Linked DNA regions of Caenorhabditis elegans. The protein of the gene in region 2 interacts with the protein of the main gene of each other region in a pairwise test. Each region holds a gene or a part of one and is shown on either strand. Other genes may lie near its edges.

What was found.
Region 1: the proteins of F43G6.8 (region 2) and jkk-1 interact in a two-hybrid assay, tested with the Caenorhabditis elegans proteins (one large-scale study listed by BioGRID).
Region 3: the proteins of F43G6.8 (region 2) and twnk-1 interact in a two-hybrid assay, tested with the Caenorhabditis elegans proteins (one large-scale study listed by BioGRID).

The regions. Positions count from the first base shown.
Region 1 is NC_003284.9:5,364,748-5,376,534, forward strand, and holds jkk-1 (Dual specificity mitogen-activated protein kinase kinase jkk-1), read left to right. Parts: upstream 1-3,720; 5' UTR 3,721-3,917; coding exon 3,918-3,951; intron 3,952-4,568; coding exon of another isoform or gene 4,569-4,588; intron 4,589-4,607; coding exon 4,608-4,715; intron 4,716-4,865; coding exon 4,866-4,946; intron 4,947-4,993; coding exon 4,994-5,104; intron 5,105-5,152; coding exon 5,153-5,265; intron 5,266-5,683; coding exon 5,684-5,800; intron 5,801-5,846; coding exon 5,847-6,002; intron 6,003-6,061; coding exon 6,062-6,226; intron 6,227-6,497; coding exon 6,498-6,659; intron 6,660-6,701; coding exon 6,702-6,794; intron 6,795-6,842; coding exon 6,843-6,902; intron 6,903-6,955; coding exon 6,956-7,063; 3' UTR 7,064-7,421; coding exon of another isoform or gene 7,422-7,535; 3' UTR 7,536-7,580; coding exon of another isoform or gene 7,581-7,679; 3' UTR 7,680-7,841; coding exon of another isoform or gene 7,842-7,878; 3' UTR 7,879-8,284; coding exon of another isoform or gene 8,285-8,314; intron 8,315-8,361; coding exon of another isoform or gene 8,362-8,989; 3' UTR 8,990-9,069; coding exon of another isoform or gene 9,070-9,287; intron 9,288-9,347; and 1 more. Other genes in the region: F35C8.5 (Cholesterol 25-hydroxylase-like protein), read left to right, coding at 1,068-1,163, 1,210-1,297, 1,351-1,628, 2,298-2,387, 2,434-2,538, 2,581-2,826; F35C8.8 (uncharacterized protein), read right to left, coding at 4,569-4,588, 7,422-7,535, 7,581-7,679, 7,842-7,878; sek-4 (mitogen-activated protein kinase kinase), read left to right, coding at 10,323-10,550, 10,705-10,857, 10,913-11,068, 11,113-11,268, 11,316-11,401, 11,680-11,758. UniProt on the Caenorhabditis elegans protein: Dual specificity protein kinase which acts as an essential component of the JNK signal transduction pathway. May phosphorylate jnk-1.
Region 2 is NC_003280.10:11,809,856-11,817,882, reverse strand, and holds F43G6.8 (RING-type domain-containing protein), read left to right. Parts: upstream 1-3,790; 5' UTR 3,791-3,854; coding exon 3,855-4,102; intron 4,103-4,645; coding exon 4,646-4,771; intron 4,772-5,043; coding exon 5,044-5,321; intron 5,322-5,369; coding exon 5,370-5,509; 3' UTR 5,510-5,589; downstream 5,590-8,027. Other genes in the region: pap-3 (Poly(A) polymerase), read left to right, coding at 1,308-2,972; F43G6.7 (Skin secretory protein xP2-like), read right to left, coding at 6,341-6,498, 6,982-7,087; F43G6.10 (Small hydrophilic protein), read right to left, coding at 7,701-7,858.
Region 3 is NC_003284.9:5,789,041-5,799,292, forward strand, and holds twnk-1 (SF4 helicase domain-containing protein), read left to right. Parts: upstream 1-4,290; coding exon 4,291-4,454; intron 4,455-4,557; exon of another isoform or gene 4,558-4,696; intron 4,697-4,765; exon of another isoform or gene 4,766-4,886; intron 4,887-4,955; coding exon 4,956-5,025; intron 5,026-5,070; coding exon 5,071-5,351; intron 5,352-5,397; coding exon 5,398-5,673; intron 5,674-5,809; coding exon 5,810-5,882; intron 5,883-5,930; coding exon 5,931-6,041; intron 6,042-6,091; coding exon 6,092-6,226; intron 6,227-6,282; coding exon 6,283-6,356; coding exon of another isoform or gene 6,357-6,383; intron 6,384-6,446; coding exon 6,447-6,500; intron 6,501-6,514; exon of another isoform or gene 6,515-6,658; intron 6,659-6,888; coding exon 6,889-7,021; intron 7,022-7,066; coding exon 7,067-7,192; intron 7,193-7,653; coding exon 7,654-7,866; intron 7,867-7,912; coding exon 7,913-8,017; downstream 8,018-10,252. Other genes in the region: F46G11.2 (uncharacterized protein), read left to right, coding at 1-30, 86-202, 258-350, 396-558, 614-710, 759-955, 997-1,212; F46G11.4 (Inner membrane protein), read right to left, coding at 8,381-8,446, 8,509-8,587, 9,659-9,717.

The DNA.
Region 1 (11,787 bases), on a different chromosome or scaffold from region 2:
AATAACATATCCGGGTCACCTGAAAGTGTATAAAAAATGTTGGACTAGAAAGAAATGTACATCAAACATTAAAAAATTCAATATCCAGGTCACAATATACTATAGTTCATTTTTCATCTTTCTAGCCAAAAAAAAACTTAATCTTTAGAACTGAGGCTTAATTTTTAAGCTGCGTTTTAAGAAATATGCTTTCAGGCTACTGTTTTCAAGCTGCCTTTTTAGGCTCAGTGATGATAAATATTTTCAGGTTTAGATCTTCAGGCTTAGTTTTTAGGCTTGATTTATATTCTGAGGTTATCAGGTTTAGGTTTTCAAATACGTTTTTCGAAACATTCAACATTTATAAACATTGACTCCACGTGAAAAGTTTCATGAAGTATCAAAAATGAAAAAGAAAAAACCTTCGTAAAACTATGAACATAAAGAAAAAAATTTGAAAAGTGATTGAAAAAAAATTACACTGCTCAAAACACACATTTCAAACATTTTGTTCTGTACCTGTACATCATTTTTTGAAAGCGATGTAACCACTGTGTTTTGTAAAGTTCTTGTTCATTATAATTCACACGTGTTTAAAATAATTTTTTAGTTATCAGAATGACATTACAAGTGGTGATGATAACTGATTAGTAGTAGACATACCGGTTATTTTGCACGCGGTTTTACTCGTTCAATCTTTTGAAGGTTATACAAATCTAACACCTTTCAAAGAAAATGACATACATACTTATTTTTATGGGTGTTTATAAATTTATACTGTTTTCATGTATTTTAGGAAATAAATAATTTTAACGAGCTTTTTTCAAAATTGTATGTCTTATGTCCATGAATGGTAATTATAATTGTAGTCTAGTAGTTATTTTTGTTGAAATTTAAATACTTTGCTTTCAGTACTTTTCCATCATCATACGTCTCTCAATTGGCTTCTACTTGCTCTCTTATCATTAACCATTTTTATGATAACCAGACGCATAGTTTCATTTTCTCAGACCATATTTATTTTTCAATTTATTTGTTTCTTTTTGTATTCTGTTGAATTTTGAGCTACAATTGTGTGGTATTTTTAGATGTTAGACCTATACCCTGTTCAAAATTTAACAGTTGATCAGTTGGAATACGAGAAGAATACACGATTTCTTCAACCGGCATGGGATTGGATCAAAGTTAGTTTCACCTAACCTTTTTTTGTAAATCATGATTCGATTCCAGAATGGAAATGAACACATTTTAAGCTCGCCGCTTTTCCCGCCGTTCTATGCGCTCTCAATCGATTACACTTGGGTAGCCGTTTTCACATGTAAGCACGTACCACGGGTTGATAACATTGAATTAAACTACAAAATGTTTCAGTTATTGACGTGTTTCTGTGCAACGTTCCATTTTTCAAAGATGCAAAAATCCAAAAAGATCGAAAAGTGACCTGGGATTTGATAAAGAAGTCACTGAAGCTTCAAGGATGGAATCAGCTCCTGTGGATTTACCCGATGGCACTTGTCCAGTTAATTTGGGTACCTGATACAGAGCTTCCTATCCTGGCACCAACAGTTTTTGAAATGCTTTCACAGCTGGCTATATTTTTCCTGGCCTTTGATTTCACATATTTCTGGTTCCATTATATCAATCACAAGGTAATTGATAACAAACAACGGTTGCATGTGTGAAGTATGATTGGAGTAGTCATAAAACACGGTTTTTAATAACTTGTAAATCGAGTTACATTGAAACTAATTAGACCATGTTTCACAATATAATTCAAAACCTTCTCTGAATGTATATAATCGGGAACTCACCAGCTACAAATAATTTTTTGTTGTGCAAAGCTCGCCAATTTTCCACCAGGTTTACATTCGTTTAGGCAAAAGTTTCCAAAACGTTGCACATTCCGAGTACTAATTCATATTGCGGAACCTGTCATTTTGTCGAAACGTCCTGATAGGAACTTTTTGATTGTTGCAAACGTTTCAGTGTTTATTTTTACGATTCCTATTATTTGGTTATCCATGTATGCAAAGAGGTTTATTAAAATGTATATTTTGACGTCACATAATGCATTTTAGTTTATGCTATGACGTCATAATTTACATCAATGTTGATTTCTTCATTAGCAGCTTTTCTCTCACTTGAAATTAAGATTCGAAATAATTTTTTACCAACGTTAAGCACGTTTCAGTTTGAATTTCATAAAGCTATTACATATTTTTCAGCGATTCAAAAATTATATTATCAGTGGAATGAATCACTGATAGTCATAATTGTCCTATACACAAATCATGGTAATATCACTCAACATTTTGCAGGTAAAATGGCTCTACCGCTGGTGTCACTCTGTTCATCATATGTACTCATCCCCATTCGCAGCATCTGCACAACATCTTCACCCATTTGAGGTTTTTGAAAATTGAGATTTATAACTAAAATAGTAAGTTTTTTCAGCTGTTCTTTGTTGGAACATTCATCACCACTATCCCATGGATCTTCCCAACTCACTGCTTGACCTACTGGATTTGGTTCTTTATCGCCCAGAGCGTCTCTTATGAGGTATTAAAATTTGACCTTTAAAGTTGACAAAGTTGAATTCAGGTTCACATTGGATACGACTTCCCATTTGCTCTTCATCGCATTTTCTGGTTCTACTCGGGTGCTCCGGCTCATGACATGCACCATCTGAGACCACTGACATGTTTCCAACCGTGGTTCAACTATCTCGACAGACTCATGGGTTACCATATTACCTACGCCGATTTGAAAAAGATGACCGAGGCAAAATTCAAAAAGTTCGGGCTCTATTCAGCTGAAGACGAGAAAGGATTAATCAAAATTAACTAAGCCACGTACATGTATTACCCCGTAACGCAATAAACGAACTTTTTTTGCTGTTGAAATGTGCATGAGTGAGCAAGACTTTTTCGGAACTTTGTGTTTGCTCCCAGACAGACCGGAAAATGTGAAAGTAACTGAATCAGAAGAAATGTGGTATTGAAACGTGAGATCTTGCAAAAGGAACTAAGAACACGAGACTTGACCAAAAGTTCAAAAGGTTGCTTGAAATGTAAATAATTTTAAATCTGAAATATCCCCCACCAAAAGGGTTAACCTGTCCAAATTGTGGTAAATCTATTTTTTTTAATTGAATTTTGTTTTCATAGTCAAACAATCGTAATTCTGAAACGTGGCCAAAAATGTCTACAAGTTTTAAAACAAGCAACTGTGACTCAAACATTTGTTCGGAGTATTATTTTTAACCAGGTGAATCGTTTCTATTTGGAACCTCGAATCGTCTTCAACAGAACATGCTTCACCCAATTTTCTCGCTGATGAGATTTGTGCAGAGGCGCATGTCTGTGTGTCATCGTGTAACTTCTATTTGCCGGCACAAAGAAGATGAGCAACAAAAAGACCTCCTCCAAACTTGCCCCCATTCAAATCGCCCATTAGCGTTTAGCCTTTCTCTCTTATAGGACCACCCATTGAAGCTGCAAAGATTCACGCATCCCAAACGCGTCGAAATAGAGGATGATGGGGGGACCAATTGGAAATGAGACATGCGCGAGAAGAGAGAAAGAGCCGAAGAAAGGAGCAGTTCTTCCCGCATATTTTCACTAGTATGTGTGTGCATTTATAGCCTTCCCCCTTCTCCTTCTTCACGGCTCCTCCTCCACGATGTGGGTGATGAGAGCGAAGAGGGGCCAGACCGGGAGCCCCTGCGCTTCTTCGACTAGCATTGTGCATTCAGAATCGATAGCTGTGTGTGTCTTGCCATTTCGTCTACTACATTGGGCTAGTGGTGCTGCTGCTGCTGTCGCTGCCGCGAGGAACCTCACATACGTCTTCTTATTAAAATTTCGGAACGAGCGACGACGGCCAACGGGTCATTCTTTCATTCTTTTATTTTGTTGTCAACTCTACCTTGGTTTTAAATGGAGAATGTCTGTTTTCAGCAAAGATTACGAGGTAAACATATAATTTTTCATATATTTGTTTATTGTCGGCTGAGTACGTAGCAAAATATTCGTAGATTATGTATATTCCGTTTAGAATCTTTGATGAAAATTTAATGAACTGCAAAACAGGTCAACCAAGTTGCTGATTGCCAGAAAGTAGCCTTAGGTTCGGAAATCATCGGTTGTCGGCTGCCGAAAGTTTTATCGTTCGCCAACTTCGGCAACTTTCGATATTAATTTCAATTGTTTTGTAAATACGCATTCAAAGACCCTAAATATTGCGAATATCGTCACTGTAAATAAAACAATTATATTTTTTCCTCGAAAAACACTCTGAAATATGAGTTTAACAGAAATATATGTTTGAACAACGCCAAGGCCTCGGCAGCCGACGGTTGCCGGTTGCTGAAAATTTCAGCGATTGGCAAATTCGGTAACCGCTCATTGACTGATACCCAGATGATGCTGATGCAATTAATTTTCAACCTGTAACCTAAATTTTAGTGAAACAAGGTAGCCAACGAACTTATACCTCTTGATAAGAAAAGTACTTGGCTTCTCGGGCAATAGGTACCACAAAAACTACTAAAAATAACCAAAGTGTCAATCAGCGCCAAACACACAATCTCATTTCCTCCGTGTTGAGTCTGTAATAATTGATTTTAGATCTGGAGACGAGGGTGAGAAAATGGAAATTCTTGAAGTTGGGATTGACTGAGGTTCGGCTACGGCCGAGAGATCGCCGATCAACTTCGGTAGATCAAAAACATAAAGGTTTGTCTTGAAATATTGGTGTCTAGCCTTCAAATGGCATCATTATTCTTAAAATTCCATCTAATTATTCTTTGTGATGAGATCATCGGCTCAATTCCAAAAAACACGTATGTGTTGTCATTCTTAATTCCCTCAAATTTTGTTTTACAGAATGCTCTTCCACATCTTCAAGTCCTCAACACCAACGGCCGAATAACATTGGGTATTTAACAAGCCCCATGGAAAGAAAATGTGTGCCTGGAGAACGACCTTTAGTTATTACATACATACAATTTCAGTTACTCCGCTTTCCATGAAACCATCGCCATCCAGAAGAGATACTGAGAAAGATGCGTTGGAATACGAGTTTCTAGAAGGGTACAAGAAATCGGGAACATTAGAAATTGATGGTAAGACATACATCAAAGCTTTAATTTTTAAAATCTTTTTCCTATCAGGAGAAAAGCAAGTTGTCGACCCAAACGAGATTCACATCATCAGCCTGCTCGGAAGCGGCTCTTGTGGTGTAGTCGAATCTGCGACGGTTCGCTCAAAATTGATGGCTGTGAAGGTGAGCATTACCCCTCACACGGAGGCAGTGATGTATGGTTGAGATACACATCCGGACCACTTTGAATAGAATAAATCTTGCATGGCTCCAGTATGAACTCTTGAAAAAAGATTGACAGAATCGTTGCATACGCAATTCAAAAGAGAAGGGGTCCTTCACGGGTTATCATGCGGGGGCGAAAAATTGTAGTGGTGCTAAAGACCATTAGAAATTCCATTGTTTTCGTTTTTCTTGATTCAATTGTCAATGCAAAGCAAATGCGTTAGAGAGGAGGAGAGACCTCTAAAATTGGTGGAAAACAAATTTCAGTAAAAATTCTGAACCTCTTTCAATGTGAGAACAGTAGTTTGATAAATGCGACTCTAGAGAATACGTTGACACAGAATCATAACGGTTCCCTCAGCTTTGTCTTCTTCAGACTATGTACAAAAATGACAATAAGGAAAATTTGAAACGAATTCTTCGTGACGTCCGAATTATGTCAATGTGCAATTCTCCGTTCATTGTCACCAGTTACGGATATTTCATGTTTGATGTAAGTGTGACATTCTTATTAACATATCCAATTCCTCCATTTCCAGTCGTCTGTAAAAATTTGTATGCAAATCATGTCAGCGTGTTGTGAGAAGCTGCTGCGTCGCATTTATCATTCAAAATTGGATTTTTTCCCCGAGTTTGTGGCCGGTCACATCGTCTACTCGGCGATTAGTGCACTGGATTATCTCAAGGAAAAACATGTAAGAGATTAAAGAGAAACTGCTGTGCACAAACTAAACAACTAATTCCGGATTTTCAGTCGATTATACATCGCGATATAAAACCCTCGAATATCCTTTTTGATGACAGCGGCAATGTAAAGCTGTGTGATTTTGGGATAAGTGGATTTATGACTGATTCGATGGCTCATTCCAAAAGTGCAGGATGTCCGCCATATATGGCTCCTGAAAGATTAACTATCGAGGTATGAAATTGAATGTTGATCTGTGAACAAAAATGTGCCGGTGGCGGTGACGCCCTCCACGCGCCCGATTTTTCCCGCAACTTGCCCCGGTTCCCTGCTACTAGTTTCGGCTTGATCATGCTTGACATGTCAAAAAAAAAATTTTGAACTTTTTTTTTTGAAACATAATCTTGACCCGAAATGTGGGTCACGTCCCGATCGCAACAGTGAGCCGCGGGGCACTCCTGTTAATAGGTCTAAAAGTAAATAATGAAGTTTGAAAAAATTGCAGACGAATTCCAAATACGACGTTCGAAGCGATGTCTGGTCATTGGGAATCACTGTTTACCAACTTGTCACTGGACTCTACCCATTTCCACTAAATGACATGGAATTCACAACTCTCACCATTATTGCAAACCTGAATTTGCCATCACCAAGTCTGAGAGAAGAGGTTTCGGAATTTCCGTTACGTTTTCAATACGCTATGTTTCAGACAAAGCGAAGTTTTTCACCTCTATTCATTGAATTCTTGGACCTATGCTTGCGAAAGGATGTTCGAGAAAGACCTGAATATAGGCAATTAATGGTAAAATAATAGGTTGGAGAAATTTTTAAAACAAAGGTTTTTCTACAGAAGCATGATTTCTACCTTGATTACGACCCTGCCAGTGGAAGTGCTTACAAGTTCAAAGCTGTAAGTGTTTTTTTTTGCAAATTTTTCAGTACAAAAACTGACTGTAATTTCAGATCAATGGAAAATGCAATCAAGTTGCGGATTGGTTCGTCGACGTGATTCGACTTTCAAAAACCGAAGATGAATTGAAGTCGATCCCAAACACGCCTTGTGTCAACTAATTATTGAAGACTTTTAAGCAAATTATCACTTTCGTGTTCTCTCAGAAATTCTCATTCTTTTAAAATTGAAACGAGTCTGATATCATCACTGGTGCTCTTCTCTGCATAATATTTGTTTCTCGGTTGCTTCCAGTTCACTTTTTGAAGAAATTCTAGGTATGATTTAAAAAGAAATACTGGGTTTTTTAAACGAACAAACTAAAAATCTGTCCAAATGGACGAATATCGTAATAAAAGTTCTCAAAAAAATGTAAATTGTTTTAATGGCTGTTCTATTTTGCGAAGCATTGGTAGTTTAACGCATATCATTTTGCAAAATAAGGACCATTTAAAGTTTTCTAAGAAAGCAATAACCTACCGATTCTTGTCCACAAAATCCTTCGATCATCGGGGAAGCTCCTAGAATCTGGTTCAATTTTTGAGGAGGCTGCAAGCTTGTCAACTGGGCTTGCAACTGGGCTCCGGGATATTTCTGAAATTTGAAGTTTAAATTAAAATTTCATTTAGGACAACTTACTGATAATCCGTTTTTTTTTTAATTTTCTGTTCTTGTTTCTGTTCTGTTTCTGCTGCTCCTCACTTTCCGCTTTCCGACGACGTTCGTGGTGCAATTTCTCTAAAATTTTGATATATTTTTGCTTAAATTTTATCGATTTGTAAGTGACTTTCGAGTGTGGTACACTTTTTGCATCGCTAATCTGCCTTCGATACTTTGCTCACCTAATCTGAAAATTGGAAATTTAGAGCTTTTCAAAATAATTGTTATGAGATAACTTACGGAGTTGGCTGGAGGAAGAACTTGGTGATGAAGCCATACTGTGCGAAGTTTCTGAAAATCGAGAGTACGGTAAACTACGGTATAATTGGATTTTAAAAGAAAAAAAAAATCAAAAGTAAGTTTGCCACAAGAGCCGGATATGATAAAGTGGCACCAAGAGAAAGAGAGTGAGAGAGTGTGTAAAAGTAAGAGGGTGCTAGACGAGAAATACATAAACACAATAACACCTTCTATTTTGCCGCCACCGCCAAAAAAAGACGCTAACTGTACGCCTTCCGGTTGTCCGTGGGGCGGATTTGCAACAACATTTCTGAATAGTTTTTCTTGCTAGTTTTTTAAATTTTTTCTTACTTCTATTTTGATCAAATCTTGAAAATTTTCAATCTAGAAAGTTTTCTCACTTATTTTTCTTACAGTAATTATAACTTGCTATCAAGAGCACAATGCCTGCTGCTCCAAACTACAGTATTATGGTAACCAGCACCTACTTATCACAATTTCCAACTTTAAAACTTTCCAGACATTTACCCTTTGAAGGAAGCCACTCGAACTTGAAGGAATCCACTCAAAACTTTGATATCACCATTTTCGACCGCAAAAACTTTTTGCATTGAAGATGCAGTCGTAAGAACAACAGAATCCCAATTTCTGCTGAAGAAAAATGGAGAAAGAAACATCAATATAATGCAAATTACGAACAACGGAATCGCGACGAAAAGGCAGCGTTCGAAGGATTTCTTGTCGAAACAAGTGCGATCAAGGACAATTTGGAGCAATTGGTTCAAGAAGTTATGCCTGAAAATGTGGATCAGTTTGTAAAGAAATCGGTGACAGTTATGGAGACAATCCTGCAAAAAATCTCCAGACATAGAGGTGGATGTGAGATCTTAATTTGAGATCCACGTAAACTTCATGGACAAGTATCAAGAAGCCATGAACTACATATCTTGGCAGCACCAGCACGATTTTGTCATAGCCCAGGAGAAGCACAAAGACCTTCTACCTACCCAGGAAAGAACCTGGTCATCGTGGATTTGCATAGGGGAGAGAATTGCAAGGCAACAGCTGAAAATTGACTGCATCAAAAACTTGGAGAAAATTACAACGTTGATTGGGAAGAGGGACCTGCTTGAAGATTGCATGCCATCGTCAGTGGAAACATAGTCTTAGTCAAATTTCTGATTTTTTATTTTCAATCGCCCGAATCCTCCAATTTCTTGTTTTTCAGATCTGGATCAAATGCTCGAAATCTACACCATTTTCTTCAAGCTGATGTTGCAAAACTGCGGAGCCCGCCGACGCTGAGCTAGTCAACAAAATCGTCGAGCATTTTTCAAACAACTTTCCGCACCCAGAGAATCCTTCCGAACTTCCAACATTTGCGTCTACGTCTTGCTCGAGACTTGAAATCGCTCAACTTGCAGTAAAAGTTGTGAATAAAACGTGGTGAGAACGTGATGATAAATTAAAATCTAGAAAACTTTGAAAAATGCCAATTTTTTTCAGAACTTTTCTGGCTCACCACTCCACTTCCAAAATCAGCACATGCCATAGTTTTATAATTTATATATTTCTAGTCATTGTTTTAACTTGTTCAAATTTTATTTAAAATAAAGCTTCAGATAAATTGAAAATTGAATTTTTAAAAATTGAATTATTGCGGAACTGATTTCACATAAAAACTGAACTACATTTCCTTTTGAAATGTTAACTTCTGATTTTCCATTTTGGCAGAGATGAGTTCAGTACGCGTTTTCTGGAAGAGCTTCAGAGCATCTTAGAGTGCAGCTTATGAAAATACCTTGTAGTCTGGCAAATGAGGTTTGAAGGAATCACCTTTGGCATTCATTTCCATTCCTGCTCTGGAAACGGCTTCTTGTCAGCTCCGGAACTGATACAATCTCTCCGATGTCAGCTCTCCTGGAAGTGAGACAGAACGAGAAAAAATCGTTATTACTGTAGCGATGATATTCAAATTTTTATTTATTATAAACCACCTCAAAATGACGACAATTAGCAATTTTCGAACTATACTCAATCAATGAGCTTGTATCGAGAAACGGTAATCCCTTTTTAGAGAGATTAAAGAAAGAGCACAAGTATTCATCTATCTAGCGGCGAGGTACAAGCAATAATCCATGGGACACTTAAAAAAAAACGGAGGTCATCGCGATGCCCAAAAAAATTCAAACGCATACCCGTGGCACATACAAGATCTCTGCAAAAAAAGAGCCGTTTTTGGTGTTGTTTTTGGAACTCCTACATCGTCTATCAAAAAATTCGTTGTTTATCGATTACTCTTTGTTTGCACCCCATTCATATTGTCAACTGGTGACACCCAGTTTCTTATCAGTAACATTTTCTCCTCAAATGACTAGCAGAAATATGTTCTGTAATAATTTGGAATCACAAAATGTTATGAGAGTTTAATTTTGTTTTCTCCTTGTGTCGGTTGCCTTACAAAATGTTTTTTCAGGAAAAATGCCGACGTTCGGACGTCGAGTTCCGAGACCAAAACTGGATTTGCCAGCGCTCAGAGAAACAATTCCCGAGGTGTTGAAAAACGGTGCTCTTGGTTATATCTGTCTGTCTGGTAGGAATCTGAACGTTCCGGAAGATATGCTTCATGGTGGAGTAAGAATTGGAAGTGGTGAAGGACAATCAGCAGTGTACCGCTTAATATACAATGGAATGGTTATTGCAAGAAAAGTTAGTTTACAAAGATTTTTAAATTAAAAGTTGTGGTTAATAAGGAGTTGAATTAGTTCCATCCTAATAGAAAAACGATGATATATCCACTGCATTTTGGATTAATGAAATTACTATTCAAAATACGTCACCTAGTGACTTTTATATTTTTTAGGATGTAGCGGTAAGATTACCTCAAGGCGGAGATGAAGATTCAACAAATAAATTAATGGCAAAACGACTTAGAGAAGTGAATGTAATCAATGGATGTGCTCCATGTCCGTTCATTGTGCATTTCTTTGGATATTACGTTCACAAGTATAAAGACGTATGTTTTCAGAACACTAAAAAAACGGTATACGCGAAAATTACACACATTACAGTGCGTGAAAATTCATATCTTCATGGAGGAAATGGCGCTCAGTGCATCCGTTCTCAAAAAAGAAGTACTGAAACGAGGCGGAATAGTTCCCGAGTTTGTAATAGGACGTATCGCTTGCTCTGTAATTCACGCAATGTGGTTTTTGAAGGAGAAAATGGTTATTTTTATTCAAAAAATTGCTTTAAAAAATTTAATTTTCAGCAAATCATTCATCGGGATATTAAACCAGGGAATATTTTGATTGACTATGATGGGAGAGTCAAAATTTGTGACTTTGGCATAAGTGGAATTCTTCAAGACTCCATTGCCGTTTCAGCTACGGGATGTCAGCAATATACTGCTCCAGAAATCAATGAAGTATAACTAAAACAAACAAAAAATTTAACGTGAAACCAAGATTTCAGCTAGCAATGGTTCACTCACCAGGATATTCGATCAAAAGTGATATATGGTCACTGGGAATCACCATTTTTGAGCTTGCTACATTGACGTAAGCATTTAAAAAGTTTTTGTATTCTGTTTGTCGAAGGAAATTAATTTTTGTGTGTTTTTCCAGTCATTCGAATTATAAATTGTTTTTAGGCACCCAGGTAGCTGTGACTTGAGCATGCTGGGCATTTCAGATTTTTGCTGAAAATTAGCTTTTTTCGAAACTCTACGTCTCTAGAAAATAGTTTGAGAAAGTTTTAAATTTGGTTTTTTTGGGCCTATTTTTTTGTCTAATTTAGCAATGACCCTTGTTATGCACCACCTTTAATAAAATTTCAGATACCCATATCCAGTTGGAATCTCCGAGTTTACTCTCTCCTCTACGATTATGACGTCACCAGCACCTTCTCTCGAAAGGGTAACTTTTTTTGAACCAAAAACATTGAA
Region 2 (8,027 bases):
TAGCAGCAGAATCGATATCAACCTCGACGCTGCAAAGTTATCGTGATTATCCAATCGATTGAACGCTGCAACTATAATGAACGGAAGATGTCATTGACATATGTCATTATGCTCTCTGTCATTTCTATCTTCTGTCACCACACCGGACGGTCGTCTGGTTTTCTTGCTCTACTTTTTTTTGTTTTCTTCTGAACTAATTTTAATTAAAGTTAATACTCTATAATTTTTTTAATTTAATCACCCAAATTACTCATTTCAGGGTTACTCATTCTATAAATCTATACACACAAAGCTTTTTCAAATTAATTTATAGAACGAAATTAGAATGAGTTTACTCTTACACATTGTTTGTCTCATTCTAGAATCAAACGCTGTGTGCATATTCCAATTTTTTCCAAAACTTCCAAAAAAATTTAAACAATATTTTTCGATTTTAATCATTTTTCAACGATTTTTTTTTCAATAAGTTGATAACTTGAAAAAGGTGATTGCTACCTGTAGATTTTTTAAAAAATTATTCAAATTAGCATAATCGATATCTATCCCGACGCTGCGCATTAATCAATCGATTGAACGCTGCCACTAATAAGTGGAGATGGTCCGTTATATCATTGTGCTCTCTGTCATTTGTATCTTCTGTTTTCACGACGGATGGTCGTCTAGTTATTATGCTCTCCTTTTTTGTTTTCTCCTGTTTAATCTTCACTGTTCTTCCAAACTCATTTAAACTTAAATTATCAAAGTTGTTCGTTTCCTCTTAACCTTTGCACCATTCTTCTCGTAAATTCCAGACTAACCGAATGTTTTTGAAAAGCAATTTTTAATTTTTGTAAACATATTCTGCAATTTTTAAATTCTGTAATTTCCTTTCAAATTTTTAAAATTAATATTGTATTTACCTTTTAATTTTCATTCCAAATTGTGTACCCACATAACTTTTATTTCAAACTTCATTTTTATTGCAAGAATAATTTACTGTCAAAAATGTAGATTTTTCTTTAGAACAAAATTCAACTTGCATATTCCAAAAATGATTATTTTTAATTGAAACGAAATTTTTTTTAGCAATTCTTTCATTTAGTGGGGCAATTTACAAGAATTTTTTACCAGTTCATTTTAAATATTTCCTTTTTGTTTTTTTTGTGCAATTCCAAAATCCAAAATTTGTGTTTCCAATTGAAATTAAGATTTTCAAACGATTTCATTTACTCTTCGCCTTTATTGCCCTTCTTTACCCGTTCTCCTATCCTCTTACTAACATTAGCATTTTTTAGAAACTTTACGATCTCTCATTTACCCTTTGTAAAATGACATCTGTAAATACCCTCTCTGTGAACATCACTGTCCCAATCACTCGCACATTTGGAGTTTCTCAACCAATTTCCACTGCTCTCCCAAATGCGAAAGACTTGGAGCTGACGTCATCACTTCAAAAAACACTCAATCAATACAACAGTTATGAGCCACAGGAGGAGACATCACAACGAGTCAAAGTACTGCAGAAGCTCAATGGATGTGTCAAGCAATGGATTCAAAAGATCACAGAAGCAAGATACCCAAAGGATCAATTGTTCAATGCCGGTGGACAGTTAATGGCTTTTGGTTCGTATCGCCTCGGAGTTCATTCAAGTGGAGCTGACATCGACACACTCGTACTGGCGCCACGACATGCCACACGTGCTGACTTCTTCTCCAGTTTCAAGCAAATGCTCGCTAAGGATCCAGAAGTCACCAATCTGTGCGCTGTGGAAAACGCTTTCGTTCCAATCATGACAATGAAGTACTCTGGTATTGAAATCGACTTTCTTTTTGCTCGACTTGCCTTGAAGGAAGTACCTGAAGATTTGGATATCCTAGATGACGCTCTTCTGAAGAATCTGGATCAAGAGAGTGTGAGAAGCCTGAATGGATGCCGAGTTGCTGAGAATTTGTTGAAGCTAGTCCCAAACCAGGAAAACTTCTGCATCACTCTTCGTGCCATCAAATTGTGGGCTAAAAACCATGGAATCTACTCGAATTCAATGGGTTTCTTTGGAGGAATCACATGGGCAATTCTGGTTGCTCGTGCTTGTCAGCTTTATCCAAACGCGAGTCCATCCAAATTGATTCAGAAAGTGTTCTTCATTTTCTCCACATGGAAATGGCCGGCTCCAGTGCTTCTTGATTTCATCAGCAGTGATCGGATGGATTTGGCTCAGCTCAATCAATTAGTTTGGGATCCTAGAAGAAATCAATCTGATCGATACCATTTGATGCCAATTGTGACTCCTGCATTCCCACAGCAAAATTCAACTCACAATGTGTCACGGTCATCAATGAAAGTGATCCAGGAAGAAATGAAGGATGCATTGATCACATGCGACAATATTCAGAATGGAAGTTGCAATTGGATGGATCTTCTAGAAGAAATCAACTTCTTCAGTCGGTACAAGCACTTCATTTCCTTGTCAATGACAGCTGAAACTGAAAAGGATGAGTTGGCGTTTGGAGGATTCTTCGAGTCAAGGATCAGACAACTTGTGCTCATTTTGGAGAAGAATCAGGGAATCAAGCTTGCTCATATCAATCCAAAGAAGTTCAAAGCTGCTAAGGATCCAAAGAAATCAGTTTGGTTCATTGGTTTGCAATTTGATGAGAATGTGAAGAATCTGGATTTGACAAAGGACATTCAGCAGTTCAAGAGAAACATCGATTATCAAGCAAAGTCTGTGAAAGATATTGAAGCGAATTGTGCAGTGGAAACCGATTTTTCCTATGTGAAGAGATCAGATTTGGCTCAGACGATTTCTGTGAAAGATCTGAAACAAGGAAAAATGTACAAGAAGCCCGAGAGCAAGGATCCAGTCAGCAAGAAGCGGAAAGTATCAGAAAATGCTCCAAGTGTTCCAAAAAAGCAGAAATTGGATGTTTCCGAGAAGTCTTCAGTGGAATCGTTACTCAAAAACTTGAAGAAGAAGAGCTTAATTGTTTGAATTTCTCCTATTTTTTGTTTCTATTTATTTCTATTCATTTGTATTATTTTCTGGTGTTCTTAATTTCTGGTGTTAACAATTTCTATTATATTATGTTCCTAATTTCAATAATCTTTAATTTAATTTTTTAACTTGTGCTATTATCTTCTTGATTCGGTTGTAATACTTTCTGGTTTAACTATTTCTTTATTTCAATTTTTTAAAATTAATAAATATTATTAAAACTCAATTCAATGTGTTGGAAACTTAACAAATAATTGAATTAAGACGGAAACCAATTTTTTTGGTCAATTTTTCGAAAGAATTTGATTATTGAAACTTTAGTTTTAATGGAAATAATTGTTATTCACCATGTGCTCAAAAATATATCCAAAAATGAACTTAATCCCCGTGAATTTTCAACAAAAACATTTAGTTTTCAATGGATTTTGTTCAAAAATTTCATTCATGAAATTTTTCTAGCCCTTGTGATTTGGTTTTCATGAATGTTACATGAAAGCGTTTTCTATTTCAAAGCTACGGGGCATTTTTCAATTTAAATTTTATCCGACGACATCAAAAAACCGAGATATAAACCATCATGCACCTAGACCGCCAGATTGAATGACGTTGTTTCAGCACGAGAAATCTCTGACTCTAGGCTCCATCTTTTTTCTTCATCCCTCCCTTCCATCATCTTTAGAAACCTGAGGTTCTGCCCAATGTCTGGCACCTCCAGGCGCTAGCCAACTATTTCCATTGTTTGTTTCATCGTCTATGTCTCTATCGCTCTCCGCTTCCCCCAGCCACATGATTCCATTCTATGTTCGTATAGTTTCACTTTTGAGAGAGCGCTTTCCAATCTCCCCTCTATTCGATATTTTTTATCCATTAAAATTTGACATGGATCACGGAAGACGTCGACTTCACAGCGGTTCGACTCCGAGAGGAGGAGAACGTCCTGCAAAACGGGAGAGAATTTCTGTGGAAGAGCAGCAAAGTCAGGAGATAAGGAATTTGAAGAGAAAGTTGGAGGAGGCTAGACAGAGAGAAGACAAGTATATTAAGAATGAACAGTTACATCATACGGCTATGAGAAGCAAGCAACAGAGAATTGAGAGAATGGAAAAATCAATGGAAAGCACGAATAGGTTGGTTTTGGAAATACGTGTGATTGTGATGGAATGTTTTTGAAATAAACATTGAAAATTTTATTTTAATTTTTTTTAGCTTATTGTCCTTAACTTTGACAGCTTATATCTCTGTTGTCATTTGTTCTATTTGAAATTTGTCAATTGACAAAGTATTAATAATTTCTTTTTCTAAAATTTTGTAGTTAATAGTTAACTGATAACTTCAAAATGAACTGAGATATATCTTTTCAAAGTGAACTAGTGGAGGTGCAATGCTAAACGGTACACAAATTTTATGCACAAATTCAATTGTCAAAACAATTTGATGTTTTTTGAATTTTAGGTGATTACTTTAAGGTCACCAACTTCGAGGTCTGACTGATCTAGTTTTCAAACTGTTTGACCTACAGAAATTGCGGGAAATTGACACTGTAACCTCACACAAATTTTAACATGCGAAATATTATTTTCTAGGCTCATTGATAACATTGAGAGCCTAGTTTCATTTTTATTTTTCTAGATTTTCACAAAATTATACCTGTCAAAAGAACCCGATTCTAGAAAAATGTACGCCACACAATGCCGCCTGAATGACATGGAGAATATCTATGATGATTTGGAAATGGAGAGCAAGATTATGGCAGACTTTATAGATCACTACTATGATTCTCGGAATATTACTGAAGAGTGAGTTTGAAGAGGGTAGGAGGACGATTAGTGCAATACTCCACAGTATCTATAAAAGTTCTACGTAGGCACATGATGCCTCCCTGAAGACCTTTGTGGTAGCCTACTTATGTCTGTCTCGTACCTATGCAAAATCAGATAAATTTCATTCTTTTAATTAACTTTCATTTAACTTTAACTCATTTAACTTTTTACAAAGTTTGCCCCTACGTAGGCGGGCAAGCATGGAACGAACCTACATATCACGTTCAACCTAAAATTCCACATTTCAGGGATCGAGATGAATTGCAGGACAAGCTGGACGAAGAAGCTGCAAATTACAGGGATCTCGAAGACCGAATCAAGGAAGTTAGGCACCGAGATCGTTATATGAAAACTGTGGAGACTGAGAGAAAACGAACAACGTTCTATCGGAAGAAGATGCTCGAGTTGGCCGAGCAGCTGCAGTTTGAGCAGCAGGAGGTGACTGGAGAGACTCCTCTGTGGAAACTTTGCGAGATATGCGCGCATCAGTTTTCCCACAGTGATGAGTATGTACCACGTGTGTTGGGTAAGAAATGGCTGAAATGTTCACTTTTCTGAAATTCCAATGATTCAGTATGTGGTCACACACTTTGCACGTCTTGCATCGAAAAACTGGACGTTGGAGACGGAATTCGCTGCCCATTCTGCAGAACTTGGACCAATATGAAACGAATTGAAGCTCTTCCAAAAAACTTTCAGATTCTTCAAATGTGATTGCCATAATAATATTCTTTTGAATTATAGCTTTGAACTTGAAATTTTGTGTCTGTAATAATGAAGTGTATTGTATAGTGATAACATTTTCTAATTCGAATAAGGATTAAAGGATTAAAAACTTGGAAATTGCTTATTAATCAGCTGATATTTTTGACGATTTATGAGGCTACGGTATTTGGTCTCGACACGAAAAATATGATCCTTGAAGGAGAATAATAGTTTCCACGTGGTTATCGTTTGTACAACATAGTCTTACAGGAATCATTAAAAAAAGAAACTTGATAAAAACCACTATAGAACATATCAATTTTCAAATTTCTCTTGCAAAATCTCATTCTTGTAGCTTCAGATTGCAAAAAAAATCACATTTTTGCAAAAACTGCTTTTCCGCTTGCAATCTAAACACATCGAAGTTTCATCGGTGTTCAATAAAACTTTAGGTATCAAAAACGAAGTTATTTTTTCAGATAAAACCAAGCATTCAACTAGACAATTCCAGTCCTATTTCCCGGCATATAACATGTAGTTCTAGATCCATCCCTACTCGTGGATGGATTTATGGTTTCCCAAATAGGCCTGGTAGCCTATGAACGGAAACTCCTTATTCGAATATAAGTTTCTCAAGTCGATGATAAACGTTTGAATTGGTCACTGAAAGCTAGTTCCCTTCACCAGATGCTTCTACCATGCTCAATAAAAACATTAATTTATTTTACAGACAATCATGTTTACGAAAAGAAAATATAGACGCCGATACAATCAAATGAGTGGAAAAAAATTGAAAAAAAAAATTGAAATTTAGCCATTATAATCCCGACTTGTGTGAATCTACTGCTGATGATCCAACTGTTCTTCTTCGGCGGCAGGAGCTGCGACGGGGGCTGCTACGGCTTCTGGCTCTTGTTCAAGTTCATCTTGAGCCGCTGCTGGTGGATCTGGTGCTTGACCTGGTTGCTGGTGAGGTGGCGGGAGCATGGCGGGGTCAGCTGAAAATTGGAGGTTGTTGGAAATCTCTTTCAAAACTCAAAGTTGAGGTTTTCTGATTCAGAATATGACAAAAAAGTTGGGGAAACTTTGGCAAGACTTTGTTTGGGCCACGTTTAGGATGTTTTTGAGCTAAACTTGGGTGCAGCCTGGAAAAAGTTTTGCAAAAATTCGGCCCAAGAATTGCCAACCTCTGAAGCCTAATTGTTACAAACTCGGACAAAAATTGACCGGAGATACGATAATCCTGAATCTTAGAACCCAGAAGCCGGACGTCCACTTTAGTCCGGTTCACCTAGCCTAGTCTAGTGAGAGAAGGGTTACGGTTGATCTAGTGAGGACTGACAAGTCGTACAAACGTTAGCCTATTAAGGATTTTCAGCTAACTTACTCAAAAAGATTTAGCTGCGGAAAAGAAACTGGAAAACTGCTTCTCATGGAGATCGACTGGGGGAAGTGTCGGAGTACTGTGAGCCTTTACTTACCAGGTCCTTGAACTGGCTGATCCCCTGGGGCTGGTGGCTGGGATTCTAGTGATGGCCATGGTCCCGGTCCGATCTCGCTGCTTCCGCGGGAAAAGCATCCGCCCATTTTGAACTGAAGAAAATCAATTTTTTGTATTATTAAAAAAGACAGAAGTTGAAAAAACCAGAAGAGAAATATAGAAGAAAAACTGCGAACTGTCGGGAGAGGCAAAACAAGAGTGAGCGGCGGAAATGAGTGGCTATCGATCGTTGCCCTCTAGGAAGATGCGCGGTCAATGAACAAATTTCTGTTAAAATTCACGCGCCGAGTAAGTTTGATCTACCGAAATTTTGTAGGTCTAGACAAAATATAGGTTTTTTTGTTTTTTTTTAATAAAAAAAAACAACACATATGCTGCAAACTTATTTTTCCGCGAATGCAAATTCCAGACAAGATCTGTTGAGTTTTTAGACTGGGCGCAGGTAATCAGAATCACTGCTCTTGTCCCAACGATAACTGAACTAAAAGTTAGTTGCCTTCAAGCGAATAAAACGATGTACTAAGACTGCCCTACAATCCCGACTACTTCACCAGATGCTTCTAAAACTCTCAATAAATACATTGATTTATTTTACAGACAATCATGTTTACGAATAGAAAATATAGACGCCGATACATTGATATGATTGGAAGGAATTGAAATAATCGAAATTTAGATATAATCCCGACTTGTGTGGATCTACTGTTGATGATCCAACTGTTCTTCTTCGGCGGCGGGGGCTCCGACGGCTTCTGGCTCTTGTTCAAGTTCATCGTGAATGATTTCCACTGTTCGTGGATTTGGTGCTTGACCCGGTGGCTGGCGAGGTGGCAGGAACATGGGCTGGGCGGGTTCGGCTGAAAAGATAATTGTAGTGCGGATTATTTGAATATTCTTATTTTTCAGAACTCAAAATGTTTATTCTCCAAAATTTCAGATATTCCGGAATAGGACCAGAAGGTTGACTAGCTTCAGAAGATGGGAAAACTTGGGCAAAACTCGGGTGAGACTTTTTTCAGACCACCT
Region 3 (10,252 bases), on a different chromosome or scaffold from region 2:
TGATGTACCACTTTGCAAGGGGAATAGCAAGTAAGTAATTCGAATGTTTTGGAACTTTCATTTTTTTTTATTTTGGGAATTTCAGTATTTGCCGATTCATTTCGTGTTCTGCTGAAAACTTCAAAAAAGATCCGACATTTGGCAATATACAACTTGCTGCTCAAATACTTGGAGATGCTAAGCTTAGAAAAACTATCAGCAGGTACGGTTGTGCAAACAAAAAAACAAATATAATAAAGTGTAAATCAAATTTCCAGTAACTCTGATGCAGTTCACGCTGTATGCAAAGAACAAGGCATGGATGATGCGCAGTGTAAATTATTTTCCAAGGGATTCCAATTGATTGATAAGTATGTTAGCTTTAACATTGAAACTTATAGAAAAAATAAGTTCAGGTTCATGACATCTATTGAAAAGCCAACAGATGCAAAAGGCGGTGCACCTCCATCCACAGAACCACCAGTGACATCGATCCCCGATTTTGATGAGCCTACTGATGATGAGCCTCAAAAACCAATGATGGACGATCCTGCACAATTACAAGACGATGATAATAGAGTATGGTTTTCTTTTTCTCATTTTAGAACAATGAGAATATTATTAACAATTTCAGAAGCGCTGGGCGGATTATGATACCCCATCTATTACCCCGGTGATTCCCGTGCAAACAGCACACGGATCCAAAACGTGGAGTAGCAACCCTGAGACAAGTATGTTTATTTCAAGTAAGCTTTTCATTATATTTAAAATATTTACAGAATCATTACAACCGCTGGAAATCAGAAATGATCTTGTCTCTAGCTGGACTCAAATGCCATTTTTCGCGCCTCCAACTATTCCACCAGCCCCGCCGCTTGCTTTCAAATCTGTGCCTTCACTAATTTTACAACCGATTCAAGCACCACAGTTGGAGAATGGAATATTCTTCTCGACAGATAAATTCAATTTCCTCAAGGTGAATAACAACTTGAATTTTTAAAATCTAAATTTTTTCAGGACTTCAATCCGATCAAGCGATTCAGACGATCTCCTGATTACTACGATCAGATCGACGAAAAGAAGAAACCTTCAAAAACTTCTGATTCATCTAAAAAATCGTCTGGCAATACTGATGATTACTATGGAAACTTTGATAGTGACATAGATGAGAAAGATGAAATTGAAACCACCGGTCTGAAACAGTGCGTCCATTTTCTGGGACTTGGTGTATAGATCTTATCCACATATGTACAGTTTTTCTATCATTTCTTATTTTTTAAAATTTCAGTTGTTTGATTGACGGGTGTAATAAATCAAGATTCTTTTGAAATGAAAAACTTACTGAACGCAAAATTGGAAAAAAGAAATACTCTGGTTAATGGTCCTGTTTGGAAAATGTGTGATTTGATTTGGACAATAGGGCAAATTTGCATATCGATGTTTTTTTCCAAATCTGTTAGTGGAAGAACTGACTAATTGACACATTGTGACTGTATGTATATAAAAATTTTGATACTTCTGGTTTTTAAGTTTGGTTATGAGCACGTAACTGTAAACAGTTTTCTCATTCGGCAATATTCTATTTTTGAAAGAAAAACATTTTTTAACACTTTAAATAAAATTTAATGGCTGAAACTTTCGTTGTAAATAAATGTTGACAATTGGTGAAATAGTTCAATTCGAAAAAGTTTTGAAACAGAAAACTTATTTTTTAAAAAATCTCTAATTGCCTTTGGGATCACAAATGAATAGAAATTATTGAATTGAATCAGAAAAAGAAACAATTGAATTTTCCGAGTTTGAAATACAATTTTTGCGAACATTTTAAGAAGTGCAATCTCTTGAAGGAAATAACTTATAATTAAAAAGCTCAATGATTTACAGTAAAACGGTTTTTGAAAGAGAACTTTATCAAGCTGTTCTTTTCAAAAAATTTGACAGCAACATATTTTTTGAATACCTAGACTTGTCGTAGTTTGGTGTTTCCTGCTACACGGCGAGCCAGCAATTTTCCTGCCATCGAGCCCCCACACCGAGTCCAACGGTCGCAGACAATCTTGTACACGTGTGACCCATGGAGCGTAAAAAAGTAACAGTAGACTAGGAAGTGCGGTTGAGAACAAACAAGGAGCGGCATTCAGAGGAATCCTGAAAGTGCAGACGTTGCTTCTTCTTCGATTCCCAATCTAAGTCCTTCCATCCCTTGATGCATACTATTAAAAGAAAAAGGAAAGGTATGTGACGGGTTCATTGTTAGTCGTAAGAAGTGTACCAATTTGGGTATACCAATTCGTGCCAATCCAACGGGAAAAATAATAGAACGATGATGGTCGGGAGATGTTGGAGTAAAAAGAGAAGGAGGAGGAGGAAGACGGAATGTATACTTTTGAGATGATGGATATACATTGTGGGATGGAGTATAAAAATTGTTTGGTACGTGCAATCATAGCTGGGCTCCGTCCCTGCTCAAACGATTGTACATTTCCTTCCGTCTCGAAAGGTGTATCTGTCGACAATACAAGTAATTGAGCTTCCTTCTCTTATCCCATTCGACCCCACCCCCATCATTCCGTCCTATGAGACATTTTCTTGTCTTAGTCTTTAGACGACAACTGGCAACTATTCCCTAGTTTTTTTTTCCAATTTTAGATCTCCTTGAAACATCTTTTTTTATTTTTTCCAGGTACCTTGTCAAAAACCATTAGCAAACTGCAGCTCAAAACCATGGAAGACGAAGTAAGTCTTAGAAATGGTACTGTATTTTTCAAATTTTTTTCAGCTCGACTCGGATCTCTACGATCGTGTGAGCTATTTGAATTTGATGGACAAAATCGATACTCGGAAGAAGACATCGAAAGTGGGAAAGTTCCGCGATGAGTAAGTCCAGTTTTTGTCATGTTTTCCAGAAACATGCACATAAGTGACTTCCGGGAGAAGAAGTCTTTTTTGTTTGCTTAATAGTGTGCCAAGCAGTTGTCATATTCGGTTTTCATGGAAGTTTCGGTTTTCACGTTTTTTAATGATGTTGTGCTGTTTTTATATTCATTGGTTGATAGTTTCTGATTTTGAAATTTTGTTTGAAAATTTCCAAAATGTGAATCTGTAACTGTGAGGAAGTATAATTTTAATTTGTATTCCCCCAGAATATACTTTTTCAAAAAATACTGTTGCCTCAGAAAATAGCCAAACCTAACAAAAGTAAACCGGTTCACTTCGTTCCAAAAAAAATTTATTTTTCGTAATATCTAAAGATATATAAGACGAGAAGAGGAGAAAAACAATGAAAGCACTTGGGGCACCTCGATTTAGTGAGCCACCAAAAATCCAGGAAGCCTTTAACGCTGCCCCAACATAAAAGCGAGTCTGAACGAGGAGGTTGAGGAGGAGAAGCAGCACACAAAAAAGTCGAAGATAGCTTTCTATTTAAGAGCATTTTTGCTCCACCAAACCTTCACTCAACCATAGGATTATTGCTCGAAAAAGTGAGGTGTACGGCGTCGGTGCCCCCGCCAACCTTTTTTCTCTCTCGCCCCGTTGCTCCGAACCACCCCGATTAACCCGAGGTCAATTTCACTTGCACTTGAATTGATTCGATCCGAACTCTGATTCAAGTTGCAACTTACTTGTCTATTTCATTTGCTGGTTTTTTCAAATCTATTACTGTACAATGCATCGCTCAAAGTCCCGACCGGTATCTAGGATGTCAAAAAAATCGTATTTATATTCAAGCTCAGACGAAGATAATGGGTATCCAGTCGGTATGTCTTTAAGCATTCTATTTGCGTTTCCCTTGTGCTAATATGCTTTTAAAAAATTTGGAAACGGATGCAGTTTTTTTGTTGGAAAACACCTGAAATTTTCCCGAATTACTAGTTCCGCCACCATGTTTTTATTTTTACACCGCGCAGACTTGTCGAATCTAACAACTTTTGCCAAAACGTCTCTAGCCAGCAATTGTGAGGGCTCCTGCCAAATAAGCTGTGTAATTGTCGAATATCATAAAGAATGGGGGCCAAAGGACGAGCACAATAGCATTTTTTAGGGTGGGGGGAACTATTATTGTTTGCGGGGTGCCTCTCCTGCGCATTTTTCTGTTTTGTACCCATCGTGACTGGTTTGTAAACATCAGAACCTTTCACTTCTGGCACTTTTTCCGGCTGCTCAAGTTCCTGGCACCCCATTCATTCAGCTTTTCCCCCACTTCTAATAATATCGCGTCGAATTCTAGAAAATCAGTTCCATCAAGCACCATCCTCGTCCAGTAGTGGATTTTTACCACCATTGAACTCTAAAGCAGTGTCATGGATTGATATGGATGACTATACAATTCTGCCAAGCCCCGACGAAGCTCCATTTGATCACAGCGACGACGAATATTTCACCGGAAGACGACTACGGCAGAGAAAAGCACCCCGGACGGGAAGATCGGTGACAGCGTCTGAATCGATGAATCAGATTGCAGACTTTGATTTCAGGTTTAGAAAGTGTTGAGTGTTGCATCCTGTGCTTATGTTAATCTTATTTAATTTCACATACGCTTTTTTTGAATATTGATGAAATCGTTTTTACCGAGCTCAAGCAAAATTGAATGCAAAATTGAATCTTAATTTTGAAGGCTCTAAAAGAGGGTGTTAACTTATAAGATGGATTTCAAAAAGCAAATTCCATCGTAAAAGTTTTTTGAACATTTTGCAAAAGAGTTGATATTAGGATTATTGCTGTAAGTTGCATATCTCTCGCTTTTTGTTCATTATTTAGATATAATTGCAGTTACCAATCTTAGTTTAGCCATATTTTTAGATCGTTTGAGCCCCCCTCGAAATATTTGAAAAGTATTCAAAAGGTCTTATTACGTAATTTGACACTTGGATTCATTTTCAGTCGAGTATCTTCGATATGAACTTTAATTGAAATATGAACATAATTTTTGACTGAGCTCAATTTAACATAAATAAATTCATTTGGTTCGTTTTCAGTTCTGACGCGCCTTCTCCAAGACTTGACGCTTCAGAAGCCATGAGTGCTCCTCCAGATCCGGATATCAAGGTTCGAATTTTTTTTCACTCCCAAAAAAGCTTTTTCCGTTTTCAGCGCTACTGGGACAGCAGTTTAGACATAACTGATCTGAGTGGCCACGATTTCACTATTTTCAAGCAACTCCAAGGGATGCTTGGAATTGAGAACATTTCATTCGAAACTCTTGCTCGTTTCAACGTTCGTGTCCAAACCGACACCTATGGTCAACCTGCCATTCTTTTTCCACGGTATCGTGGAATGACTTCCCGGCTACGCATTCCAATGGGTTTGAAGTTGATCCGTAAAGTTGGAGACAGAATGGAAAAGGAGAACTATCCACTGCCAGATGAAACTTCGTAAGTAGAAATTCCGATGTCTTCCTTCATAGTTACCCATTTCCAGCGTTCGCCAAAAGTTCAATGGAGTTTTCGGGCTTCATATGGCAACTCTGTCAGATCGAAGTGTAGTCATTACCACAAATGAGCGTGATGCTTTGGCGATCTACGAAGCCACCAAAGCTCTGGTATTTGCTCTACCACATGGAGAAATTTTGGATCCACTCGTGCTTCCGTATCTGGAGGAATTTGACAAGATCTATCTGTGGTTCCCGGTTCAGCATGTCAGTTATGCCAAAGACTGGGGAAGTGCTTTGAACACCCTCAAATGTCTTCTTGTGAAGTGAGTTTATGGTATTCAGTAGGACTATCATGGAAGGCGCGGATTGCGGCGTAAGACAGGTGGCGTTCCGGAGCCTGCTTGGAAGCCCTAGTATATAGAGAACGTTCGGAAAACAAAACCAAAAGAGTAAGTTCAGAAACGAAGAACGCCCAATTGAATTGGTTCGTAATGGTGATCATCGGCTCATTCGGAACTCACTATCTAACTCGGTACTGTTGCCATTTTGTTCTTGTTTTTTTTCAACTTTCATAGTTTAGGTGGTTCGAATGAGAGAGCGTGGTTTCCGTTCAATGACAGATTTAGACATGCGTGAAGGAATCCGTTCAGACCTTCTCAACTCGACAAATCGCGTTGTTGGATTTGGACAAGTAAGACGAAAGGAAAAAAGATAAATTTCGGTCTAAATAATTTGTTTCAGTGGAAACGATTTGCTGTTTTGAATAAGTATCTTGGCGGGCTTCGGCCAGGGGAGATGACAGTTTTAACCGGAGGAACCGGCAACGGAAAAACTACATTTTTATGTGAATACTCATTGGATCTATTTACTCAAGGGGTATTTTAAATTTTAGCATTAGCTGAGTTTTTCTAATATCTCTGGTTTAATTCTAGGTGCGCACGCTGTTCTGCAGTTTCGAGATGCCTGAAAAGAAGATCCTCCATTGGATGCTTGTGCAATACGCTGGGTATGATGATCTAGTGTTTTTTCTATTGTTATTCTATTTTATTTTTCAATGGCTTGCAACTTTTTAACTAACATTTGTTTTTGTCTGCAGTCCTTCACATCTTCGAAGCCTCGCGCGCACTAACTCATATAAAAATGGCATCAAGTAAGAATATTTAGAAGTATTAGGATCTATCTGGAATAGTTTTTGTTTTTTCTAAATTGGTTTTTGAATATAATAAGTGAATCAAAAACTATTTCAATAATTTCCTTATGAAACCAGTAGCCAACTAGACCTGTTATTTATTTTATTTTACCACCTCACAGTTTTGAGTTGTAGAACATCTTCATTTCTCATTCACTGCTCATTTTGGTTACTAGCTAGTGCTTTTCGTGGTGCGCGAGGCAATTGTCGATTATCTTGAAAGTGTGTTTTTGCACGGTAGTTTGTTCAAGGAAACGGAAATGGGTATGTGGATGAGTGTTGGCATGCTTATTCTGATTGTGCCCAGACATCCGTAGCCCATACACAACTCCCAATCAATCTGGTTCAGACTTCCGCTGCATCGAGTAGAGTATAGCAACTCGATAAATTCATGGTTGGATAGATTCGAGAGATCGAGTTCGGCGTTGACAATGCTTGACTCCGAAGAGTTCATGGAGAAGTCCATAAATGAAATAGTCAGAGTAATAATAGTGGAGCAGGGTTTGAATCATAAAATACCATTTTAGGCAATTCGTATTCACGTTGAAAACAGTGGTATCCAACATGTTGTCATCGATAATCTCCAGTTTTTGATTAACCAAGGAATGATGGCAGATGAGAAGTCAAGTGGCCTTGATAGATTCCACCTTCAGGTTATTTCTTTTTACATCAACTTACAGTTTTGGTTCATAAACTAACATTACAAGAAATGGGAACATTTGGTTTAGTAGGAGAAAAACTACAGTGCGCCCAATTGCTGGGACCCCCCTTCCATTTGAGCGGTTTAGGGCATTTTGGAACTTTTTAATAGGAAAATAATATGGGAATCGGATTCAGCATTACAAAAAACCTCTGTGTCAACAATTGTATTCGGATATCCCAAAAATTGGGAGCAAAATGGCAAAAAGTTGAAAAATCGACCGCCCAACTGCTATCAAGAGGGTGTTTTTCTGGACCTCGTAAATATTATGACACTTCTCCAAAAAAACATTAACCAGTTTGTTGAGTATCATTACAAAATTTGTTCATATTTTGAAAATATATGTACATGCAAAAACCCAAAACCCTTAGTCCTCCTCTAAACATATAAATCTTCTTGAACCTTCGTTTTCAGGATCGATTTGTCGGATACATGCGTCAACTTGCTACTCAGAATCAAATTCACATCACTATGGTTGTTCATCCCAGAAAAACTGACGGTGATACTGAAATTGATGTGCAACACTTTGGAGGTTCCGCCAGAGTCACCCAGGAAGCTGATAATGTCATTGCTATTCAGCGGAAGCGTGATGATCGTGACCGTTCCAAGTTCCGAAAATTCTTATACGTAAGCTTCTAGTAGAATGATATGACCATCCAGGATTCTATTACAGATTCTGAAAAACCGCTACTATGGCCGACGAGTGGAGAGCGATCAACTTGAGATGGTTTTCAACCCATCCACCTATTCTCATACAGTTGTAGAGTTTCCAAAGTAAAATTTTCTTCTTAATCAAATTAATTTTACAATTTCTCCAAGTTTTTCGAGTGTCATTATTCAGTTCTATTTTTTAAATATATTTTTCTGCTTTTTCCTTTCTCCCTATTACGCTGATACTTGATGAAGAAATATACCTTTTCTCCTGACCCATTTCATCCACCTTCTCCCTCCGTAGGTCACATATTATTCTGACGTCTTTCCCTATTTTGTCCGATCTCGAAAACACTACCGCGAAAACACAAAGCTTCTGTAGTTTGCAAATAAATAAATTTTTCATTACTCGACGATGAGAATAAAAAAATGTTGAATGAAAGCGAAATTGGAAATCAAGAATCGAAAACAAAAAATTAATCAAAATTTGTCACATGTTTTTTCGTGGAGGTGCAGGATGAGGCGGAGCAGATGTGGGAAGTATCCGAATTTGTGGCTGTAATTTTTTTTTGTAAAAAATTAAAGGTTTTCTTTTAAATATTAACAACTTGCACTTACAATTGGAACATAATCACAGACGGTTTCATTGTTATCATGACCAACGGCAAATACTGTCAGCCCGAGAAGAATTACTATTCTGGAAAAAAAAAACATTTGAATATTTGAACAGCTCTAGAAAAACGACAAGAAGCTTGAATAAGTGGCAATTCTGACGAAGATATGTGCTAAGCCGTTACATAATTCATTGAGTTTGCGTGTGTTTAGTTTTGAGAAGCTGTCAAAAAGCGTTTTCAGGAAACAAATTTATTCAAAAAATGGGCGTTGGCAATTTATTTTTGGCTGGAAAAATTTCAAAAAATGGAAAATTTCGAGTTTTCAATGTTTGAAGTTATATGGAATTTGTTAAAAAGCGCTTTTGTGGGGAAAAATTTTAACAAAACGTTTAAAAAATTGTCTGTATTTTTAAAAAATTTACTGTCAAAAAAAAAGTGGTTTGAAAATTTGGCAAATTACCAAAACTCTGAAAACTTGTAGAGATGTTGCTTTATCATCATATCATCGTTATGATAATTTTGGGGCAATTTGAATAGGTATTTATTTTTAATATTAGAACATCATATTATGAGCCATTCTCCAAGAAATTTCTAGTTTTCAAAAGGACATTATTCTTGACCAGAGCGATTAAACAGTTAATTTGCGAAACTGTGTGTATTTGTAAAAAATACAAAGTTACACAGTTTTTTTTTTTAATTTTGAAAATGGTTTTGACAATTTTCTGAAAATTGTATCAGCTTCAAAAAGTTATTCAACAAAGATCAATTAACACACAATGACAAGGAATGGGGTTTATCTCACGAAAGTTAGCTCAAATTTAAAAGCACTTTTACAACCCTTCAGAGTAGCGAAAAATACATTGAAAAATATTCATTTTTTTGGTTCATTTTTCTTGTTCAAAATTTTTCATTTGCTGCTGAATTTTTCGTTGAAACTTGTTTAAACTGTCCTTTCAATTGGCAAAGACTTAGTTAGATCGGAAATCGAAAAAAAATTTGCTGAAGTGCTTTTCTTGTGAGCACTAAACGTTTGTAATTTCTCAAAATGTTTTGTTTCGAATTCATACGCAATGGACAAAAATAAAAAGTTTAATTGACTGTTTAGCATTTTTGTGTTTCAAAAATTCATATAGTTTAGTAAGTAAAAAACTTACATGGCCAATGCAAGTAAGAACGGTTGGTTAAATCCGAGTTGAGAAATAACGGCACCCATCAAGTTGGTTTATTATGCATCATTCAACCAATTCTGAATAAGTGATCAATTGTGGAATTACTCATAAATCTCAGCAATGTCGTAAATCTTGAGGTAAGTAGAATGGGACAAAAAAAGAAAGATAGACAATAAGTTTGGCACTATACCAAAAAAAGAAAGGTAATAAAACTGAAAGCAAAACGTACGGAAATCGACTGGAAAAATACGAGAGAAAAGTGCAGGCTTGGAACAAGATCATATTACATGGTAATACGCAGATGCGATTCGGTGAGGTCTTTTGAAAGATGGAGGAAATGGGTATAAATTTGATGAAACTTGATGAAAATTGTGTAAACGTAACAAAGAAAGAGATGGGAAAAGTTTTGAAGGAAAAGAAGAATTAATTGTTTACGTTGAAACACGCATTCAAACAAAAATAAAAGTTGGGAAAAACGGAAAGCGGTCCCCGATAGACGGGAAGCCAATCTAATGTGTTTATAAATGGAAAATGGAAAGGACCCTGTGCGCGTTGGTGAGTTGCCAAAACCTTCGGAAG